Lonchura striata: one gene and its partner. The protein of the gene in region 1 purifies or fractionates together with the protein of each later gene. This does not show direct contact. Links are inferred from orthologs where the notes say so. Each region holds a gene or a part of one and is shown on either strand. Other genes may lie near its edges. The genes, in order: POLR3F and POLR3H.

Region 1 (7,450 bases):
CACCAATCTTCACCTCCTTTTTTTAGACCTCTGTCCTGATGACAGCCTTGCACAACTTTCGCCTAGCCCTCTGCTCACCTGCAATGACTCCACTGGTTGTGCTGAAGTGGATTTCTCTCTGTGCTTTGCAGCTCCCAAACCACTGGCAAGGAGCTGAGGTCCTTGAGGGGACCTGTGAGAAGGCCTGTCTGTTTCCAAGATTAAAATTACAATCCTGTTATTCCACTGTCACCCACTTCATGCAGTTAATAGATATCTAAACAGGAATGTTACATACTCTCACTAAGCATAATCAAAAACATATTTGGCATGCACATTTTGGGTTCAAATAAGCTGCATAGAATCACAGGAAATTAAACTAGGAGAACCCCCACACTTCTCTGACAGAGCTTACTTTTGTATTTTAATTTATTTACAGTTTTCTTCCTTCCTGCATGAAGGAAGAAAAATCCCAGCTCCTAAGAGTAAACTAATGAGTAAACATTAATACAGTTACCTGCTCTAAAACAGTCCCATTGCTGTTGCCAAGGAATAAGAGACTTTATCTACAGAGAAAATCTGGGTGAAGCTTTCATTTCTGCTCAGTGTATTTATTTTGGAATCTTGCTGCAAGCAAACATCAGTAAAGAAACTCTGTAAAGGATTTGCAATCCCATCAATTTAACAGCATCTTCTGGCACAAAGGGAAATACAGACAGGGCTTTGGTGTGTTGCTGAGAAATGATTGATGTTTTAATATGTTTTTAAGAAGTCATGTGAAATGTATGCAAAGTAAATTCTGTTCTCTATTTGCAGTGTTGAGCAATCAAAACTGGAATTTCCACAGGATGCTCTGTCTTCTGAGAGGATTTTAAAATTACCCACATTTTACAAGCAAAACAAGAGGGAAACTCTTTGCAACTTTCTGCTAGAATAGAAGACTATCTCAGTTTTATGAAGTGATACTTACCTTGAAGGTCTTGGGATGTTTCATCCCAGGCAGGCTTGATTTCCACATTCAGTCTATTCTTCTTAGGTTTTGTAGTAAATGTTCCACCTTCCTTATTCTAAAATGTAATTCCATTTGAATTACAAATACATTTTTTTGCTTTTGCTCTCATCCTCTCCTGCTATAGTTATTTGTTAAAATTTTAAAAGTACATGTTTAAGGTATTTATTTTCAATGCAAGCATGCGAAAAGCTTAATTTTAATATTACAGAAAGGACCAAAGCAGCAAAGATGGGCAAACAGAGAAAATTATATATGTGAATAAAACTGGCAGTCAAAGCTTAATCTCTAAGTAATATCATATATACAACATTTTACAATCACACAAGGGGTTACAATTTCCAAAACTTACCTGTGTGGCTATATCTTTTAGGAAATTCTTGTCATCATCTTCAACCGGGAAAAGGATGTTTGGTTGCTGGTACTCTACCACAAACACCTTTGTCACAATTGAACTCTCCCTGTAGTCCCTGAAAATCAATATTCCCACAGCTAAGAATCCAACACAGACCTGTATGCTGCAACATGAAAATCACTGATGGATGTGGCTTATTAGGTGGAACATCCCTTCCAAGCTTTTATTTATATCATTATAGTGAATCTATGAAAATGTCTTAATATAAACAGACTGCAAATAAGTGTTAGTCTAGGCAGTGATGGCAAGAAAATAAATATAAGCCTAGGTTTTGAGTGTTATATAATGTTGTTGTATTGCAGTGCAGCCACAAGCACAGGCTGACTGCAGGTGCTGCTAACAGGGAACAGCAGACACAAATCTCCAAGTGGAGTGGAAGTTCCTGCTCCCTTGGAAATAAAAGATAATGCAATACAGTACAGACAGAGAAATGATGTGTCCTTTCTCTGTCTCTAAGCATGAAGTTATTTCTGACAAAGTCAGTGGCAGTGCAGCAAAATCCAGTTTTCTTTTCGTGTATTGTATTTTTGCTTCAACCAACGTTGTATACTTAAGCTGTGAGGTTCGGCATTCTGTGATCCTTTGGGAGAAGCTAAACAAATTCCTGGGAAAACCAGCTTCTATAAATCCACTGAACCACTGGATGACCCCAGAAACACCAGCCTGGTTTCTCTGGTGTTTCTGATGGTCACACTCCAAAGGATGAGCTCTCAGTACATCACCTCCTCACCCACAGCCTCCAGGATCACTGGACACTCTGAGTCCAGGAGAAAACACCCAAGAGGTTATCCAATCACACAAACACTTGATGGATAAAAATTATCCTGAGAAAGCCAACTCAGTGCTATTCACGAGTTTGCAAACTGCCTGGGGAAAGGCTAATCTCTCACTTGCAGGGTATGGAACGCTTTAGACAACACAAGCTGTGACAGGGATGTCTGTCCCTTGCCAAAAATAAACCAAAACAGGATACTCACTTTGTAACTGCCAGGGCTTTAACTATTATTTTCCCCACTGGTAATATGATAGGACCCTTATACTCCAAAGTGTTATGTGGTCCATAGCCAGGTTTCCTAATGAGTTCTGGTTTGCTTCCATCTAAAGTGTAATAAATAGAGGCCTCAGGTGTATCTGAAAGAAACAGAAAAAGTAATTCCTCAGACTGTAGGCAACCTTGGAAAAACAAATTACTCACTACAGTGCTTGATTTTGCTCACATAAAGAAAATAAAGTAGTTCCATAAGAGACCAAATATTTGGGATCAAAACTGTTTCTTCCATGAAATATCAGTTATTCAACAAAAGCAATTTCATTATAAGCAATATTTCTGACAGAAAAGTATCTGTAAAACGATTTTGCACACAAACATTGCAGCAGCTTGTCCATTCCAACAACAGAAAGGGTATTTTCTGCCACAGCAAAAGGTGATAATTCAAAAACTGTAACGACAATGTTGGGAGTGAGCCTGGCACATGATTCTTTCAAGAACTGTTTTTGCCGTCAAAGCCAAATGCAACAGCTTAAAAGTTTGGCCTTGGAAGCAATTAAGACTGCTACACATATGTCAGTAATGTTGTTGCGATAAATAAAATTACATGCAAGTGTATCTGGTGCATCAAACCTGTTAGTTAACTTTTTAAGTTCCTTAATGAAATGCATGCTACAAAAATCATGACTAAATATGAAAAAAGTATAAATGCCAAATATTTCAAATGGACACATAAGTACAGGTTTGAGGTGGAGTTAAAGCTCTTGTGCATACCTGATTTTATTTCTATGAGAGTATTTGTGTCTATTTCCCGTTGAGCTTTCCCTGGAGGTGGGATTCGAAGTGGGATGATCTGAGGAGCTGAGACAGAGCCAGCTGTCATTTTTCTCAGCAGTGATCTTTAAAATAGAAAAGTAAAAAGGCAGACAATCATTTAACTAAAAAGAAGAATGCACTGAGAAACAGTCATTTAGCATGACTCCTGGTCTTCATTTGTTTCTCTTAAAAGAGAGAAAACTGGATTCTTTAAACCATCCTGTGACTGTGATTCTGTGTGTTTGAGCTAGAACAGCTCCAGCACCTCATGTCAGTGATACATGGAAGGAGTAAGGGACAGGAATCTCCACCCTCACCATGTCATATGTGAAACCAGCCTCGTCCCACTATGGCCACCTGAGTACAGCATGCCCTGGAAAGGACTAAAGAAAAACAGCTGTTTCTTAAGCTTATGCCAGATATCATGTGGATCCAGAATATATCCATGAAAACCTGATTTATCCTGATATACATAGTCATTATCATGGCATGTAATTCAAGAGTGAAAAATTGCATTTGGATACAATGACATTTTACAAAACAAAGATATGTACTCCAGATCTTGGGAATTGATACTCAGGGCCAGGAAACACGTCTGTGCTACAAGGATTTGGTTTTGTCACCACCTCCAGGGCTCCAGAAACAGCTCTGATGCTACTCATCAATGCAGGAGTGAGGGACACTCCCCACCCTCTTTGGGCAATCTGTTCCACCTTTACAGGGCGAGGGTGAACCTTTCCCGTGCAAGTGCGGCACTTCCCGTGTCCCAGATTCTCCCTGTCGCCTCCTGTCTCATTTTCGGGCACCCCGGAGCAGAGCCTGGTCCATCCCCTGACACACACCACCAAGCACGGGCGATCAGCTCTCCCCGACCCGAGCGGGCGTTCAGCCTTCCCCTCACGCCCTTGGCACACCCAGGCTCCGCTCCAGCCTTTTGGGATCGCATCCCTGGCGGGACGCACCGCCACCCCGCCCGCTCCCCGCCGCTCCAGGGCGCGGCCTCACAGCTCTGCCCGCTCCACCGCCGGCGTGCGGCCCTGCTCGCCCGCCGCTCCGTTTCCAGGGACGCCGCCGCCGCCGTGGCGCGGCGCTGACGTCATCTCGGCGCGCCGGAGCCCGCGGTGCCATGGCGGAGGTGAAGGTGAAGCCGGAGGTGCCCGATCCCATGGACATCGAGAGCAGGTGCTGGTGGCTGTGTGAAGGCCGCAGAGGACGGGTTTTGGGGCTGGGGGAAGCAGGCGTGGCGGGGCGTTGTCGTTCAGGACCTTTGTGGGGTGGTTCGACGCTCGAGTGTTAACCAGGAAATGGATGCTGGAGGAGAGGGTTGTTAGGGGCACGGGGAGCTTCGTGCTGGGAGGTGCTTAGGGGGCAGTGAGGGTTGGGTCAGGTCACTTTCGGCTGTCCCGGAGTTTTTCTGGTCTTGGAAAGGGAAACGGTGCACAGGGATTGGTGCCGAGCTCCCTCAAGAAGTAATTGATGGATACTTTTCCCCGGAGTTGCTCTTGTCACCCTCTTCCATCCTGACTCCAGTACGGTTTGGATGCAGCAGAACATGGCTTTTAAAGTCGCTTCTCTCCTCCTGCAGGATCATTGAACTCTGCCACCAGTTCCCCCATGGCATCACGGACCAGGTGATCCAGAATGACATGCCTCACATGGAAGCCCAGCAGAGAGCTGTGGCCATCAACAGGCTGCTCTCCATGGTAGGGACAGCCCGCCTTCCTCATCTTCCTCAGCACACACATAACCACAGGCCCATTAGGGATGGGGAGGGTCAGGAACTGTTTGTTATTTCTGATAGCTGATGATAAGTGGAAATTTGTCAGGGGAAAAAAATATCCTCAAGGCTGTTACTGTTTCCAGTGGTTAGAAACATTAGTTTTTATTTTTCTTTATTTAGTTGACATTAAACAATGGTTTTGCTCTAGAATTTCAGAATATTTTTCTAAAATACCCTCTGAAACAAGCTGTTTGAAGGAAAGTAAATGCATTGTGCCCATCTCTCCTAGGGGCAGCTGGACCTTCTGAGGAGCAGTGCAGGTCTCCTGTACAGAATCAAAGATTCCCAAAATGCAAGGTAAGTCTGTGTCTGCTGGGTAAGTATGTTTGGAACACAATTCCTGTTTAAAACAAATGAAACTTCAATTATTGTTTTAAACAAATCAAACTTCTTTCAAATTTTGGACCTTTCAAAAATCCTGGTGTCTGTCTTGTTTTACAGTAAGATGAAAGGTTCTGACAATCAAGAGAAGCTGGTTTACCAAATCATAGAGGACGCAGGCAACAAAGGTACTTTAAATTATGATTGTGAATGGTACTAACTTTGTTTGCTTATGGGACCATTTCTGTCCAAAGTCACAAATGCTTGCTCAGACAATACAAATATAAAATCTAATGCCCCATACCTGCTTGTTTCCTAATCTCTTCCATTTCTTCCCTTTTGCTGGGAGTGGCAGACAAGCAACCCAAGCAGTGTTCTGATGTGACTTTTGGTTGGTATATGTGGAAACAAATGGTTTCTTCTATTTATTTTTGTTCACTTCTCTGTTTTTTAACAGGTATTTGGAGCAGGGACATTAGGTACAAAAGCAATCTGCCTTTAACAGAGATCAACAAGATACTGAAAAACTTGGAAAGCAAGAAACTAATTAAAGCAGTTAAATCTGTGGCAGTGAGTATTTTGTGACTCTCTTTGTAACAATTTCAAACATCTGCTTCATGTTTTGTATGCTTGTAACAGGGGCCTGGGGACAGAGAAACCTCATTTTACCTCCAGCTTTCTCTTTGGCTGTGCACCAGTGTTTGACTCTGTACCTTTAGTGTGCAGGTTTGAGGTGCAGCAGATACTGGCTCCACAGGTCAGCTTCTCTGCTGTCTTCACTTACGTGGTTCTCACTGGGTCTGGTAAAGCAGGTGTGGGTGGAGAAGTTGGACATAGCAAAGCAGTGGCTTTTTTGTGTTCATGTGAAAATGCTGGGTTCATCTAGTCTTCCAACACTATGTTTTAAAATGATTAGGAATCAAAATGAGTTGATCTTCTCTTTATCTCTGTGTTACCTGAGGGACAAACAGGTTCAGGATACCTGGAGTCAGGTGGCTTGCTGTGCCTTAGGTATAAGAGTAATAAACCTCTTTTGCAGATTATCTGGATACAAGTCCTTCCTTATGAAGGAAGGAATTGTTGAGAGCTGCACATCTCCCTCCCACAGGCATCCAAGAAGAAGGTCTATATGCTGTATAACCTGCAGCCCGATCGCTCCGTCACTGGGGGGGCCTGGTACAGTGACCAGGACTTCGAGTCTGAGTTTGTGGAGGTGTTAAACCAACAGTGTTTTAAGTTTCTGCAGAGTAAGGTACGTGCCAAAGTCACCCGCCATTTGTTTTGTAAACAGGTGCCAAGCAAGGCTTAGGTTTTCCATAAGGGTTGGCCATTATTGCAGCTAGATTGGCAAATCTCTGCTGGACTATTATTTTTGTCACAGTAGGTGGAATAGTGTTGTATTTAATGATGGGTACTTTTCCACCCTGGGCAAGGAGGGAAGCCTTTTATCCCTGAGGTCCAATGACAGCCTATCCTAGATAACCCAAAATTGTGTACTCCTTATCTTCTGTGTGCCAGCCTGCCCAAGAGTATTACTGTCCCTAAGACAAACAACCCAGGAAAGAGGAACTTGTGTGTTTTATCCTGGAAGGGAGGTGCAGGATCCCTTTAGAAACGGGAAATCATGGGGGGAGTGCGTTTGTTCTTCCTGGGTGCCCGAGGGGATTGCCTGGGGCGGAGCTCCAAGTCGATACCCGAGAAGCTGCTCCAGAGGGAATTTTGCAATACCTTTTCCAGCCGAGGAGGAGTCAGGTCGTCTCTCCACGATTTTCCAGCACCTGTCGTTTGTTTGTCCAGGAGGGGGCAGATCTGCAACTTGCCGGAAGTTTTTTCCAGCTTTTTTGGCAGCATAGGAGCCTTTTGGCCAAAAATTGTTTTAAATAAAATTATCCAAGTTTGGTTTTGTCCCTCTCCCCCCCCCAATTGTTGTTCATGGAAGTTCAGGAACTGCAGAGGCCGTTAGCTTTTATTTAGTATTTTTTCCCCTTTCTATCTTCTCTCATTTTGTCTCTTATTGGTGGAAGAAGATTGGTTAAAACTAAAGGGGAGATAACTCATTTTGGAGTCTCCACCCCGTATAATTGTCTTAAACTAGGACACAAACCAGGCAGCAAACACCAGAGGACCAAAAAATGTAGGAAA
Region 2 (8,227 bases), on another chromosome or scaffold:
CAGGTTGCTTTTGTTTCCTTAAACTCTTTCCTTGATACATTCTAAGTAGCTGAATATGGTGATGCCAAATAGACCTGTTCCAGAAACAACCCTCAGGGCTGCAGGGTGGTGCACAAGTTGTGTGGGAACCATGAGGCATGGCAGAGAGTCAGGAGAGAGGGTTACAACTGCTCCACCTGGTTATATCCATGCATCCGTCCATCCCTCCATCCCTCCATCCATCCCTCCATCCATCCATCCATCCACCCATCCATCCATCCATCCATGCCAGTCCTGAGTGTTGATATGGGGCTGTCCCAAGGGCTTTGACAGAGTGATGAGATCACAAAGCACTTGTCTCTCTCCTGTCAATAAATTATAATGCAGAAAAAAACTCCATGGGCAGAAGAGAACAACCCATGGCAAGGACACCAAAAAGCACTGAAACTCCAAGTGCCAGTGGGTTCTGCCATTGTCCATCACACTCTGTTGTGGCTTTTCAAGTAGTTTTCCAGGACAGAACAGGAGCCACATTCATGCCCTACAGATACCACAAGTCTTATCTCTCCATTCTTCTCTTCAGAACTTTTGCAAAACAAGGGGAGGAGGCCCCAGCCAGCTCTCAGTCTCCCTTCTGAGTTTCTCCTGAGATGGCTTCTCCTTTCTGGAGGTACAACTTTGGCTCTCCCACATAAAGGCTGCTGATGGAAAATGCACAGGAGCTTGAAGTACATTTGGCTGGAAGGTGACACTGGGCATGTGCTGCAGCAGAGGAGGCAGGGAGTCTAAAGCAGGCATGATTTAAAAATGATAAAAGGAGAAGAGGGGAAGCTTTGATCAAACAGAGAGTGGGAGTGGGGGTGCCAGAGATGCCTGCAGAGATGGAAGCAAAGGCAGGAGTGAGGAGAACTTTTTATGTGAGAAGATACATAATTCCTTTGGAGTCAATCAAAGGAGGCCTAGAACTGTTGAGATGCAAATTACCACTCACCTCCCCTACCATCCCTGAGACAGTTTTCTCCAAGAGCCATGGGCATATGGGGACAGAGGAGATCTTAAACCAAGTAATTTGGGGGCTTCTTTCATTCTCCTCAAAGGTTCCAACCCTCCAGGTAACTTCAAATATTATTTCCCAGGTTTTCTGTACAATGAAGAGAATGAGAAATGTCTGGTATTTTCTCTGAGGGACAGAAAAACTCTTCAACTCCTGGATTCCAGCAGCTAAAGCTTAAAAAAAAAAAAACAAACAAAAAAAACCCCCACAGCCCAGCAACTGAGAACCATGCTCTGAAATACTGGAAAAGCCCCAATACTGCTGAAAGAGAGTCGAGAGACTTTATGGCTGTGCATAAACAGGTATGTACAGGCTCTGTGGATTCCTGGGTATTCACCACGTCAGTAGTACTGGGAGGAGACAAGTCAGCAAAACAAAGCTGTTCACATCATCTCCAGCAGCAAGACACTTCAGCAGCAGCCATAAATATAGTATAACTCTGAGCACTACCATTAGCTGAGGCAACACCCATATTTTACAGAGCATAATTTGGCTTTTGTTTATATTTCTACATTGAAGACAGCACTTGTGAAATATGGAAATCCTCCAAGGAGAAAACCTAGGTGGGAACAGAGCAACATCTGTCATGCATAGGCAGCCCAGGCATGCACTACTTGGGATTGGGGAGGGGCTACCTGAAGAAAGTGAGACTGGAAATCATTTCCCACAGCCTGGGATGTTCCTGGTGGAGGCTGAAACACTGAAATCCAGACTTGGTTTTGGGGTGATTGTAGCCTGGTAGCGGAGGCAGTGAAGCTTATCTGACACTGCCATCACCAGCCTTCTCTGCACACAATTCAGTTTCCCCAGCATGAAATCAAAGTACCTGCAAGTTTCAGCAAAACACACAGCTGCACAGAGAAGAAGAATGTTATTGTCCTTACTGAGTAGTGGCCCACAGCATTCAGCCCTTGTTGGCAATCACAGAACTGATATAGGAGAGAGATCCTGCACATCTTGCTTGGTGTCAGCACTTCATAGCATACGAAAGACCTCACCAACGGGACCCAAGACAGTATGAAGCAAAGCCTTGCAGACCTGCTGCTCACACAGTTGTTTTTTGGGGGCTGTGGATAAGGCTGAAGGGAGATGTGACTGATTGTATTGGGCACCCAAGAGCCCCCAGTGGGGCATGGTTATTGGAAGCATGGAAAATATTAGCTCAAGAATGCGCTAGAAATGGAAGCATGATATGACTCTGTCTAAATCCACTTCTCTCCATCTCCCATGCTCCCCCAGGTATTTCAGTCTACTATTCCCTGAGCTCATGCCCCTACTTAACCCTACAGTTCTTATATACAAGCATCCAGAGTGATCACCTTGCCAAAACCAGCAGTGCCTAAATTCTCTTTGTCTGATACCAAAGCTATTTCTTCCCCTGCTGTCAGGACAGGGTTGAGAACAATTTCCTCTTCTGAGTGAAGTAGCTATAGACACCTGCAAAAGCTGCACTAGGTAAAGGTCAAACCTTGCATTGCCAGACCTACATGAGGCCAGGACAGAACAGCAAGGGATGCAGCATATGTGCCAACAAAACTGTGCTGTGCCGAGATTAGTGCAGCTGTGACTGCAGTGTGGGAGAAAGGAGCCTTTGTAAGGCTCCCTGAAGTAGGACAAGAAAAGCAAGAAACACTAGGGATTTGGGTTGAGGTGTTCTGATAGAGTGGTGTCTGCTGTGCTGGCAGCAAAGCTCCTTGCTGAGACAGTAGATGTTGCTCCAAGAAAAAATGCTGCTTTTCCCAGGAGACAGGGGAAATCTTATTTCTGGGCCCACTATTTAATACTAACATGCCAAACATGGGCAGACCAGCCATGTTTATTTAAAAAAAACCAACATCCCCACAACCTAATAGACCCTAATGAAACACAGTAATTAAGAAGAAATCAACACCTCCTTATCCAAGACAGGTACCTTCTTAATGAGGCCTAACTAGGGTATTTCCAACCTTGTTTCACCCTCCCTTTCCCAGACAACTCGATGTTTAATGATTTCTTACCTAAAGTGCTCTCCTTACTGTCCCACCACATGCTGCTGGGGAGCGTGGGGGATGACACACTTAGCCTTAGCATCAAAGCCATGATGCTGACAGTGCAGTTTTCACTGTCAGCCAGGGATGTTTGGTTTTCCTGGTGGATCTTTTTTTAAGCACACTTCAAACAACCTCCTTTCACTTTCCCTGACAAACCTTAGACGTTAGTGCACCCCCCTTGTTTTCTGCCATCCCTCATGCTGCTTCTCCCTCACTGCAGAACACACCGAGGCCTCAAAAATTATACCATGGGGGTTGGTTTCTCTTTGGCAATTAACACTCACAAATTATGCCAGCTCTGTATGGTGGCAGTTTGTCCCTGAAAAAATCCTTGACCTAAGCATTGGGCAGACAGAGCTGTGAGGGACTTCCAGGTGCAAAGATTATAAACCCACCCAGGTTTGCTGGAGATGTGGGCAAACAGCTGAAGAAATGGCAGAGACTTTCATCTTTGGGCTCCTGAGTGCAAGACAGACATGGAGCTCCTGCAGCAGGTCCAGCAGAGGGTAACAAGGGTAAGGGGGGACTGGAGATCTTCTCTTCCAAGGAAAGGCTGAGGGAGCTGGGCCTGTTCAGGCTTGGGAAGACTGAGAGGGGACCTCATCAATGTGTATGTCCATGAAGGGCGCCAAGAGTTTGGAGCCAGACTCTTCCTGGTGGTGCCAAGCAATAGTGAAGTAAATAAACGGGCCAGGAGACCTTGTGCTCCTTTCTTGAGAAGGCCTTTATTAAAAGGATAGCCTATGGGGGTGGGGGCTCGGGGTTCGCGACGGATCGGAGTCTTTGCCCTTGAAGGATATGTCAAAAGATTCACTTTGCAACTCGTTGATCTAGGGGCTTTACCTCGCTCTGGCTCCTTTGCTTACAGCAATTGCTTCAGAAATTCTGCGGGTCCTCTCCAGCTCCTGGAAACTTTCCCTGCACGTAGGTGTGGATCATTTTGCTGTCTCTGCTCTTGGCTTGTTGTCTGGCTATATTCCGATTTATGTTGAAGTCCAAAAATTGATATACAGTAGACACTAGGCTCTCTGGGAAACGGGAAATCTTCCCTGGGAGCAACTTCCTGGGAGCAGCTTCTGAACTAACCGACGCAGTGTAAGGGACAGAAGGGGCTTCAAACTACTAGAAACAGCAAAACAAACTGGTAGGATTTCTTCTATAAGGGATTTTAACAAAGGTGTCAACGGCAGGAAGGGATACAGAGGCTCCGGGAGTTAACTGGGGATGCAAACTGGGTATAGGGCAAATACATAGGGGTGGAACTAACAACTACATGAACAAGGGAACTTCCAAACTGTGAGGAGGTAAGCAGACAAAAGCTTAGACATCAAATCCATTCATAACAATAGCACAGCAAGCAATGGGGCAGAAAGTGGTGCCCAGGGAGTTCCACCTGGCCGTGAAGAACAATTTCACCGTGCAGGTGCCCGGCCGCTGAACAGATCGCCCAGAGAGGCTGTGGAGTCTCCCTCACTGGAGAGGGAGCCCAAGAACCCTCTGGATGCCATTCCTGTGCCATGTGCTTTGGGATGAACACCATATCAAAATGTCTGGAAAACACTTTCTAGCACAATCTGAAGCATTAGAAAGCAGGCATTCTTTATCTGCACAGGGCACATAGAAGACTGTCTGAAAATTTCTATTCTCTGTGTTATTTATCAACCCTGCTTGAGCAGGGAGGTTGGACCAGATGCCCCACCGTGGCCCCTTCCTATCTGACCTGTTCCGTGCTTTTGTGATCTTTGCTGCCTTATCTGGATTGAAGGTTACGAAAATGATAAATTAAACCAGAATAGCCGCAGTCGAGAACTGTTCTAGCTGTGGCACAGGAGAGCGCGCCCAGGTACCCACCTGCTGGAGGTGGAGGGGAAGGAGCGAACTACACAGCATCCCTGCAAAGGACGCCAGGGTGCCGAGCCCCTTTCCGCGTTTATATTGGCCAAAACCAGCCCAAACCCGGAGATCCTCGGATCCTTCCCCGCTCCGGGGGCAGCCGGGCCCGCCCCGCCCGAGGAGGGACAAAATGGCGGCTGCGGCTGTCAATCAGGGCGCGCGACCCGCCAGCCGAGCGCGATTGGCTGCGGCGGCGCCGGAAGTGGCGGGGGCGCGCGGCGCGGCTCCGCGTGCGGCGGGGCTGAGGGCCGCTCCCGGCCCCGCTCCCGGGCCCGCGCCCGATCCCTTCGGGATAGCCGGGACCCCGCCCCACCGGAGTGGCCCCGCACCTTGGAGCGCCTTCCCCTTCCCAGCCTGGCCCTCGCAGCGCTCCAATTCCCGAGGTTGGCGTCTCCTCGCCCCCCGCCACCATGTTTGTCCTGGTGGAGATGACTGACACTGTAAGAATTCCTCCCTGGCAGTTTGAAAGGAAACTGAACGAATCTATTGCTGAAGAGCTAAACAAGAAATTGGCCAATAAGGTAAAACAGGGGTCACGTATAGGTTGATGTAGGCATCGCAACGTCCCCGAGCGTTCCTTCCTTGTGTTTGTGCCTACTGAGGTGCGCGGGTGAGATGTCAGAGTTGTTTGGATGTGAAGGCCATCCCCCGCGACTGTAAATAAAGAGACAGCCACGTATCATCTCAAAGGGGACATTTTTCTAATGGCTGATGTTGTAATGGGAAGATACTGAGGCACCAGATGGGGCAGAGGAGCACGGAAGAGAAGTGAGAGCAGCTGCTGGTTTGTGTTAAAAGAAGCAATCCAAAACGCAGCCTGAAAAACAAGTGCAAACTAATCCATCCAGTGGGGAATTTAAAGAAAAAAAACAACTATATAAACACATGTCGAACACTAATACTGGAAGAGAAATGATGCTGTTAGTAGCTGATTTAGCCTGTGCTTATTAATTGAAATACATGATGGCAATAAGAAATTAGTCTTTAATGCAGCATATAAAAAGTGTTTTCTTGTGGCCCTGGAGGTCAGAGTTTCCCTGTGCAGTCCCAGGACTGTGATAAGTGTACGGCTTTCAACATGGAGCAGGTGCAAAACTAAAAAATGCAGCTGTAAATGTGAAAGGAGCTCAAAAGAGCAAGCTGAAGGGATCTAGGTTATGAAAAGCAAAAGTCTTCCTTCATCCACTGATGACTGGTGGATGCCTCAAATTTCATAGACAGTGAAGCTGTCTCAGAAGTAGCAGAGAAACCAAGAGTTTGCCCTGTGTCTCCCCAGAGCTGATATAATGAAGATAAAAGGCAAGCCTGGAGGCTTCTGAGAGTGCAACTCTAGCAAAAAGCGTGTTTAGCATTTGGACAAACTGAGGCTGGTGAATGATGGGGAGTTCTTTACTGTCTTAGCAGCTCAGGTTCTCTCACCGCTGACAATTTCCCCAAAGGTTTCTCTTTGTAGCAGCGTTTTTTCCAGTGCCAGTGAAAATGTGTTCCCACAACACTTGGATTGGGGTTTCCCTATGCTGCTGGTGGTGTTGAAGGCAGTGTTCCAAAATAACCTCCGTCCCTCTATTGCTGCCCTTTGAAAAGGTGTGCAAAATGTATGAATTCCATAGTTTGCTTGATTTTACCTGGTGGTTTGCTTGATTTACTGCTCTTGATTTTTTTTTTTTTCTTTTATCAGGTTGTATACAATGTTGGGCTCTGCATCTGTCTGTATGATATCACAAAACTGGAAGATTCATACATATTTCCTGGGGATGGTGCATCACATACGAAGGGTAAGTGCTTTTCCTCAGTTACATTGTGTTGCAGAAGCTTAATTAATGATCTGGAAATGTAAGATGAGTTCAGTTGTTAGAGACAGTGACAACGTTAAGTTGACAGCCTTAGCTCTGTTCCTGTTAGGAGGGCAAGAGGAACATGGTGAAAGTCTCTTATTTTCTTTGCTGCTTTGGGTACAAATACAGCTTTAAATAGCCAGTCCTTCTTGCCTTCTCCAGCAGCCCATCTCTGTTCTACAGTTAGAGCCATAGGTGTGGGGTAAGAAGAGGGTTAATTTAATTGAAGGTAGAAAGTCTGCACATAGAAAATAAGTTGTAATAATTGGTTTGCATTTCTCTGATATTTTTTCTTTATGAAGCATATTCCCTAGCTAGGATAAGAAACCTGTTTCTACATGTAGCATTTGCACAGCATTTAATGCTTTTGTACTAGCTGGGAGTTTTACAACACTTTTGTAGAAACTAGATTGGTTCATCATACATTTCTAGTGACTTCTTTTAATAAGAAATTACTCATTTCTTTACTTTGATTCTTGGCAAATCTGAGTGAAAACTGGAAGTAAGTGCATAAAAGCAAATTTCATTTTTTAAAGTTAAAATAAAGGTTTAAACTGGTAAGAGATGCATTTTTCTGGTTTCAGTTTACAGTGTGAAATCATAGGTTGAACACATGAAATATCTCCTGTTAGAAGGGAACTGCACTGACTCTATGTGCTTCCCCTTGTCTAAGGGGAGTAGAACTCATTTCCTAAAAATAAAAGCTTTTCTAATACTGAAGGAGGATAGGCTTTCCTGCTTGCTTTAATCTCCATTCAGCTTCTCAACTTAGAATTACTCCTTGAACTGAAAGAAGAGAACTTTTCTATCCGAGTTTGGGAAAAAAGTCTGCTTTCAGAATCTGGTGTAACACTTTGATAAATCCCGCTGTGTCTGGTAATAACTCTTTCTTTAATGCACTGCCTAGTTTTATGTAAAAGAGGAGCACTGAGGAGGTACAACTAAAATTATGTTTAATTTCTCAGAAGCATTGTTTGACTGCGATTGTCTTAGTGTAGCATTCTTGTAGTAAGTGCCATGTACTTAGTTAGAAACATTTTATCTAGCTTGGAGGAAAAATCCAGTTATGTTAGAGAACCTTGTTTAATCTGATAATACTTGATTTAGAAGATTTAATTTAATGGAAATACAGCATTGCAGACAAATATAAAAGGCAGAAGTATTACAAGAAAGTATAATTTCAACTGATACTCTTGACTGTGAGACATTGTGCTTCCATCATAATTTAATCAGAAGCCAGCCATGCTCCATGTTTATCATCTTACACTTTCTCTCTGTGAACTTCTTGCAAAACTGAGGAGCTGGGAACAGGACACTGCTGATCCAGCTGCTGCCAGAATATGTACAAACCAGTTAGGAACCAGATCTCTTATTCCCATTTTTCTATCTAATCAGTGCCTCTGAAGAAGTTGTAAAAGAAACTGGGTGTTTTAGAG

Evidence for each region.
Region 2: the proteins of POLR3F (region 1) and POLR3H purify together in Homo sapiens (affinity purification with mass spectrometry; 4 studies listed by BioGRID and IntAct, with this or other methods). This does not show direct contact. The link is inferred for Lonchura striata from reciprocal best matches to the Homo sapiens genes POLR3F and POLR3H.

The regions. Positions count from the first base shown.
Region 1 is NC_134605.1:22,421,971-22,429,420, reverse strand, and holds the start of POLR3F (DNA-directed RNA polymerase III subunit RPC6), read left to right. Parts: upstream 1-4,311; 5' UTR 4,312-4,333; coding exon 4,334-4,389; intron 4,390-4,792; coding exon 4,793-4,910; intron 4,911-5,216; coding exon 5,217-5,284; intron 5,285-5,428; coding exon 5,429-5,496; intron 5,497-5,765; coding exon 5,766-5,878; intron 5,879-6,416; coding exon 6,417-6,560; intron 6,561-7,450. Other genes in the region: DZANK1 (double zinc ribbon and ankyrin repeat-containing protein 1), read right to left, coding at 79-188, 950-1,046, 1,341-1,458, 2,381-2,534, 3,166-3,274. UniProt on the Homo sapiens protein: DNA-dependent RNA polymerase catalyzes the transcription of DNA into RNA using the four ribonucleoside triphosphates as substrates.
Region 2 is NC_134607.1:58,367,207-58,375,433, forward strand, and holds the start of POLR3H (DNA-directed RNA polymerase III subunit RPC8), read left to right. Parts: upstream 1-5,174; 5' UTR 5,175-5,366; coding exon 5,367-5,477; intron 5,478-6,634; coding exon 6,635-6,731; intron 6,732-8,227.